Drosophila melanogaster: one gene and its partner. The protein of the gene in region 2 purifies or fractionates together with the protein of the main gene of each other region. This does not show direct contact. Each region holds a gene or a part of one and is shown on either strand. Other genes may lie near its edges.

Region 1 (3,924 bases), on a different chromosome or scaffold from region 2:
TCCATTTTCAGTTGTGGTTTTGTGGCTTTCCTTATTACCCAGCTCCCCAGGTCCTGTGCAATTTCCATATTATTCCAAATCCGAATCGTTGCCTCAAGTGTTTTGGCGCAGAAAACTGTAATTTTTATTCATTTCCAGGACGCAGTCTGAAGTGCCTGCTAAACGATTATTAGCAATTTGATATAACTGCATGTAAGTACAACACGAGAACAAGTCAACAACGGATTCGCCTGCACACACACACACACACACACACACACAGACACGTGTGGCCACTTACATAAGGACGAGTGGGTGTATGTGTGTGAGTGTGTTTGCCTGTGTGACAGCCAACAGTGGAAAATCACTTCAGTTAACTAAATCCCCGCAACAACCATGCGCCGACTGCGCCGCAGCAGCACGACTTCTGCAGGAGCGGACAGAGAGAGAGAGAGAGAGAAGGAGAGAGAGAAACAGAGAGCGGAACAGCCGAAAAGGACACGGCACAAAGCAGCCATTGCAGGGGCGTGGCCTGCGGCCAGAGAGCCAATCGGAGGGCGAGGTCTTGCGAACAGCGACGTCGGCAGCGGCAGAGGCTGCAAGGGACGAGGAGAGAGCGGGGCGGGGCTGGGGGAAGAGGTGGAAAAGGGGGCGGCAGCGTTAAGCTCATTGCCATATTTTCGCTGTGCTCTCTTTTGAATTTACTTTACTAACAAAACATGACTGTTGGGAGGCAAAAAGGAAATTGTTTTATCAAATGGGTTTCCTTACGCTTTTTTATTATGAAATTAATTTCCAGCATCGTTTCGCAGTCGTTGACGTTCCACTCCCATCGCTCTCACTCCCACTCTCCGTTGGGTTCGCCATTTTCCAGTTTAAACCCCATTTTGCGCCCAGCTCCTTTGAGCATGTGTTTACTCTAGTTTTCCTTTGGAGCTGCCTTAGCCATTCCACTTTCGTTTCATTCCGTTCGGGCAATGTTCGGGAAATGTTTGCATAGTCATATTCTCCCTTCCCTGCCTCCAGTTTCCTTTTTTCATACCGCCTTTCCCCCCGACAAAGGCATTAAAATGCAAATCTTGATTATGAATTTAAGCTCGGCAGACAAATTAAATTTATTTGCCACTCGAAAGATAAAAATCTTGAAAGTTTTATTTGATTACCGCTTGTGTCTGGTTCAGAAGTTCCCCAGCAATCCTTACCAATTCGCATTGAAATTGTTGCCTACTTTTTGGGGCTATATTATTGATACTGAATATATACAGTTCATATTCAATATCATATCATTGTCACCTTACATTTTATATTTATTTACTCTTTATTCTTCGGTATTTTGTGCGCATTTTATTATTGTTTTTTTATTAAGGATATTATATGTTTTAAAAATGTCCCCCACAAATTGTTGTTATTTGCAGTGCCGATATAGAAGCTCTCGCCCAGGTAAAAGTGTGTGAGACATATGTTATTCAGTTGTAAGTGCAATGAAAGAAAAATATAAAATCGATGGGCATTGCTGGTCAACACTTGGTGGGCTTCTCCTGGCGGAGTGTTGAGTTCAGCACGGGCCAAATCGTACCAACAAATTAATAACTTGATAGGGCCAATAAAGGTACATGGGTATCCATTTTCCCCTAGCCTTCACATCCGCGATGGTAACCCATATAATGGCCGTCTTCGGGGAGCTGGGTGTTTTGTGAGTGGTGTCATAACAGACAGTGAAAGTTACTCAATTCATTGGAGGCACCTCCTCCGAATCGATAGCACTGTACTGCAAGGTAATATTTTAATGGGTAATCTCAAGATACGAAACATTTTCATTATTATTAGTAGAATTTTTCTTTTACTCAAGCATTCTTTAGAAGGAAAGTTTGTGAAAGTGTCTTAGCATATATGTATGAACTACATGCATCTGGTACTCTAAGATCAACCCTGCTGACCAGTGTAATCGATACGAAAATCATACTCAAAATAGAATGGCCACTAAGTCAGTTAGCAAGAATGTTCGCCCGCTAATTGTAAAATCAGTTTAGGCGCACTTTTCAATGGACTCAAATCGGGCGCAGCCAACGCGGAATATTCACAAATAATAATTAAGTGAAAACCCATAACAATAAATATTCGATATTACATTTGAGCTTAATTCGGTGCGCTTAATGTCCGGTCAGTGAGTCGCGAGTTTTTGGCTAGGATTACGGAGCAGTCGATCTCAAGCAGCGAGGATGGTTCAGTTCCTGGGCAAACAGGGCACCGCGGGTGGTCAGTGTCCATTGAGTGGTTTCATGACCAACTGCTAATCAAATTTGCAGCTAGTCCCGAAAGAACTTGACCTTCCAAAGGTCACTCAATACTCGTTTTGTGTTTTATGAATCAAATAAAACAAAATTTGAACAAAAGCCAATTCAATTGACTTTATTGATTCTTAAGAATCCTGTGAGAAATATGTTTATGTAATGAACTTAACCTTAACATTTATATAAACGATTATACAATATTGGTGAAAATTATTTTGCGAAAGGATACCAAGTGGGATAAGGACCCCAATAAATATTTATTAGTAATAGCTTCACATTTGTCTTAGTCGTACTTTAACAATACGTTGTAAATAGTTTTTATTTCATTTGGAATGCACAATCCTTTCCCAGAGCTCATTCACATGGTGACCCTGGACAAGACGGGCAAGAAGTCCTTCGGCATCTGCATAGTGCGCGGCGAGGTGAAGGATTCGCCCAACACCAAGACCACCGGCATCTTCATCAAGGGCATTGTGCCCGACAGTCCCGCGCATCTGTGTGGTCGCCTAAAGGTTGGCGATCGGATCCTCTCGCTCAACGGAAAGGATGTGCGCAACTCCACCGAACAGGCGGTCATCGATCTCATCAAGGAGGCGGACTTCAAGATCGAACTGGAGATTCAGACCTTCGACAAGAGCGATGAGCAGCAGGCCAAGTCAGATCCGCGGAGCAATGGCTACATGCAGGCCAAGAACAAGTTCAACCAGGAGCAGACCACCAACAACAATGCGTCCGGAGGTCAGGGAATGGGGCAAGGTCAGGGTCAGGGTCAGGGAATGGCTGGCATGAACCGGCAGCAATCGATGCAGAAGCGGAATACCACATTCACGGCCTCGATGCGTCAGAAGCATAGTAACTACGCCGACGAGGATGACGAGGACACCCGGGACATGACCGGTCGCATTCGCACGGAGGCGGGTTATGAGGTGGGTTAACCCAAGGTCGCCACCCATCGCTCTACTAACTTATAAGTACCTTAGATCGATCGAGCATCCGCCGGTAATTGCAAACTCAACAAGCAGGAAAAGGATCGCGACAAGGAGCAGGAAGATGAATTTGGCTACACGATGGGTAAGACTCAATTGAAGCCATTAAAAAATGTCAGTCACACAGCACGTGAATGCCATTCCCAGCTAAGATCAACAAGCGGTACAACATGATGAAGGATCTGCGCAGGATCGAGGTCCAGAGGGACGCCAGCAAGCCACTGGGACTCGCACTCGCTGGCCACAAGGACCGCCAGAAGATGGCCTGCTTTGTTGCCGGTGTGGATCCCAACGGAGCATTGGGTAGCGTGGACATCAAACCGGGCGACGAGATCGTCGAGGTCAACGGCAATGTGCTGAAGAATCGCTGCCACTTGAACGCTTCCGCCGTGTTCAAGAACGTGGATGGGGATAAGCTCGTGATGATCACCTCGCGACGCAAGCCCAACGATGAGGGCATGTGCGTCAAGCCCATCAAGAAGTTCCCCACCGCGTCTGATGAGGTCCGTACTTTTCACTTCTTTTCGGATGGATCCTGCGATAAAATGTCCTTCCCTTCTATTCCAGACTAAGTTTATCTTCGACCAGTTTCCCAAGGCGCGCACGGTGCAGGTGCGCAAGGAGGGTTTCCTGGGCATCATGGTCATCTATGGCAAGCACGCTGAGGT
Region 2 (3,924 bases):
TGGGCTAAGAAACGATGGGCGAGACGGGCGGTTTATCAACTTAATAAGAACTAATGGCATGGCTCGAGTAAATGTGTGTGCAGGAAAGATATTGGCTTTGAATTAATTAGACTAAGAAGGTTTGCCATTCATAATAAAATGTAAAAGCAAAAAATGCTCTGACAACATTGCGTATGAGTAACAAAAGCGTGATCCTCGAATATTACGCATACGCCACATATGCCAGAACGGGATTCTTACCAAAAATCAAATGAAATTTCACTAAGTTGGGAAATATTTCGGTGAATGAAGTGGATGTGTTAACCAGGCAGCTCTAGCCGAAGGCAGGCCCCTTCTTCTGGCCCTTGTAAACGGGTGGCATGCGTGAATCCCAGAAGAAGATGTGGTAGATGGACAGAAAGAATCCCAGGCTGCAGAGCCCGCACAAATAGATCACGATCACAAAGTATCGGGCAAATCGCTCGGTATACGTGGGCTCTGCGAACACAATCTCCTCCAGCTGCGGTGACTTGGGGACATACGATGTGGCACAGGCACTTCTACGCGGGGCACTGCTGCTGGCCAAGCGGACGCTGCTGCCACTTCCGGTTCCGGTTGATCCCCTGACCGCTTCCTCAAGCACCTCCACATCCTCGCTCTTCACGTTCGATTCGATGAGATTGACAATCTTGGCAAGATTCGCCATGCTGGCGGCATTGCCCAGGCCCGCCCTGGCGGATTCTGACGCAGTGGACATTACTGCGGATATGTACTTTTCTGGTCGCGTCCGTCCAGTTCGCGATGTGGCAGCTACTGATTTGGAATCGCTACCACGATTAAATCAAAATCACACGAATGACGCCATATTCCACCCACCAGGCTGTGTGGATAGTGTAGAGCAAATGGAAATTGGTGGTTCAAACTCTGCGATTCGTTGGCACGTAGCAAAGCGGATTAGTTTTGTGCCTGGCTGTCAACTTTTGATATCGGCCACGGGGGCTAATTAAGCCACTAAACCAAGCCCACAAACAGTGTTGACTGCTTTTTGCCGAATAAAATCTCTTCAGCGGCGGCACAGACATCCACAATAGGATTAAAGTACTTTTGTTTAAATGTTAATGCAAAATATAAAGGTAAATATTCTGTTTTTTCCAGACATTAAGCCTTCTGAAGAAGATTCATTTGAACAGAAATTGTTAAATAAATAAAAAACATGGTATAGTAATTATTAATGTGCGATTATGATTGCTTATGATATGATTATAGTATGATCGTAAGAGCCAAATTTTGTAGCATACTTTTTCGCGCCGTTTCTCAAGATTTAAAATCAGTGAATATTTTCTGTGTGCGGCATATTGAAGTGACAATCTAATTAGGTAGCAACGATTTAATTGACAAATCGCCGAGCTGACAGCACTGTCACAATGCGAATGGCCCCAAATGCCAGTTTCACGTGGCCACTTACCCAATTCCGGTCACTGATGTCGCTGGGAGATGGATGGCTAACTAAATGATAGCCATCCGATCCTAGCCAATCGGATGCGTGTGCTTGAACACGGGCAGCGGCGGCATGCGTGAATCCCAGATGAACAGGTAGTAGACAGCCAGAGTCAAGCCCATGCCGCTAACGCCGCCCATGTAGAGCAACAGGGTGAGCAGGCGGAAGGTCTTAGACTCGAAGAAGTCATTCGATTTGGGCATCGGGATCTCCTCATCCTTGGCCTCCTTGACTACATCGGCCAGATTGGCCATCAGTGCCGACGGTCCGCTCATTATGCCGCTTCTTATTTATTTCGAGAATGTGCTGAATGACCCAAGCGATATGGAAAAAGGTGGCCAATCGCAACCGTAACCGCCTCTTCGAACGAACTGAACACAATTGAGCAATTGCTCCGACTGTCCGTGGATCTGGTCTTTTGGTTGTGTTTCTTTTGCTGTTCGTGCTTCCTCGATTTTCGCATTCCGCTCGACGGTTTTTTGCGGTTTCTTTGGGTTTTTGGATGGCGTGGACACCCAAAGGGATGGGGAGGAGCGGGCGTGGATTCATCGTCTTGGCGGCCACGCTAATAAGATTCGCCAGTTGCACTTTGAGTATCCCAACCGAGCGCAACCCATTCCAATCGGATCCGCATCACGTGCTGCGTTCTTCGACGCCGTCGACGACCACTTGACCCGGTTAGGCGTCACTCCTCCAATCCTGATTCCGAGACCACTTCGCTTTATTCTTTATTCTTTCCCCTTCTATACGTTTCCCTCCTATTCTTTCCGTTCCGTTCAAATGCAGATTCTATATTCATGTTTGGCCAGCGAAATGAAAGTGACGATGGTGATGGGCAGTGTGTCTATAAGATATAATCGAATTGAAAATCTTCTAGAATATTTTAGTTCATTCATAGTGATTTTTGACTTTCGAATAGATTTGAAAACTATTCGAGTTATTTGATTCATGAATCATATAGACATGTTATTCGTCCCTTAAATGGTTCCATTTCCAAATTGTTTTTAAATTGTTTTGTTTGAAATATTTGTAATATTTCCTTCTTTTGTAGCTTGAAAATAATTGCATATTCAAGGGTATCTTTCAGTCGAGATTTCAACTTGGCCATATTTGGCCCACCTTTGCTAGCATTCCCAAATCCAATTAGCAGCAGTCTGCCCTCCATCTCCAACCCGCCCTGCCTGCAATTGTGAAGGTACTGGTACTTACCACCCGGCTGGGTCAAGTGGTCAAATGGTCACTGGTACTCGTGCACCTTCTGCACTGGATGGCCGCCAATGGAGACGGGAAACTTGAGATGAATGTCCGGCATGCTGGAGTCGAAGAACATGAGATAGTAGAGGGCCAGCACCATTCCCAGGCCACTGATCCCGCCCAGATACAGAAAGATCGAAATTATCCGGAAGGTCTTCGATTCGAAGAAGGCTGGTGGTTGCTGCTCCTTGGGCAGGCGCACGTCATCATTTTCCTCCGGCTTTTCACCCAAATCCAAAGTGGACGAGGCCATGATTAAACGCCAACTGAGCTCGCGATTCCCTGCCAAGCGAAATGCTTGGTTAAAACTTTAATTATTCCATAAACTCAAGGGTTTCACTTTGAATGACACTGATTGACTGATTCCATTTGATTGGTAAACTGAGAAAAAACAAAATCAGTTAAAGTTAAGTAAACTTTAAGATACATAAATACCTCATGCATGCAGGACATATTTGTTATTTGAAATTTTTAGATAGACCCATACAAAAAAGCAATATTCTCAATAATTATGGCACAACAAACATTTTCTCTCTGTATAGCAAACATGGAGGGGGGCCGCGAGGAGAACCTGTCGGAGAAGCCCCGCCCCCACACTTTCGAGGAGGCCATCACGCTGACGGGAGTGGGCCGCTTCCACTACAAGTTGCTGCTCATCTGTGGACTGTGCTTTATGGGCGTGATGGTGGAAATTATGGGCGTTAGCCTAATCATGAACCAGATGAAATGCGATCTTCAACCGACGCTAAACCAGCAGGGCATCCTGGCGTCGGCCGGATTCCTGGGCGTCGTACTGAGCTCACATGCCATGGGCTTTCTGGCCGACACTTGGGGTCGGGCAACCACATTGCGATACGCCCTGTGCATCAGTTCCGTGTGCTCCATCGTTTCCGCTTTCTCGGTGAACATCTGGATGCTGATCGTGTTCCGCTTCCTGACGGGCTTCTTCATTTCCGGCGGACAGGCGTGTGTGTTCAGTTTGTGCGGTGAGTTCCATGGCACGGGATCGAGGATCAGGCATGTGACCCTGCTGTCCGGATTCCTTTGCATGGCCATGATCTTTGCGCCAGGTGAGTTACTATTGAAAAGGTTAAAGTTAATTACCTAAAAACTACTTGGAATTGCTTTTAATGTTCTTTTAGCTATGGCGATTGGTATTTTACCACTGCGTATCGAGACCATTGTCTTGGGTA

What was found.
Region 1: the proteins of inaF-B (region 2) and inaD purify together in Drosophila melanogaster (affinity purification with western blotting; one study listed by BioGRID). This does not show direct contact.

Annotation. Positions count from the first base shown.
Region 1 is NT_033778.4:22,856,873-22,860,796, reverse strand, and holds the start of inaD (inactivation no afterpotential D), read left to right. Parts: upstream 1-2,002; 5' UTR 2,003-2,198; coding exon 2,199-2,235; intron 2,236-2,585; coding exon 2,586-3,196; intron 3,197-3,250; coding exon 3,251-3,341; intron 3,342-3,403; coding exon 3,404-3,759; intron 3,760-3,823; coding exon 3,824-3,924. UniProt on the Drosophila melanogaster protein: Involved in the negative feedback regulation of the light-activated signaling cascade in photoreceptors through a calcium-mediated process.
Region 2 is NC_004354.4:11,730,911-11,734,834, forward strand, and holds the start of inaF-B (inaF-B), read right to left. Parts: upstream 1,861-3,924; 5' UTR 1,753-1,860; coding exon 1,507-1,752; 3' UTR 1,445-1,506; intron 856-1,444; exon of another isoform or gene 737-855; coding exon of another isoform or gene 314-736; exon of another isoform or gene 241-313; intron 1-240. Other genes in the region: CG15221 (uncharacterized protein), read left to right, coding at 3,274-3,801, 3,874-3,924; inaF-C, read right to left, coding at 314-736; inaF-A, read right to left, coding at 2,715-2,984.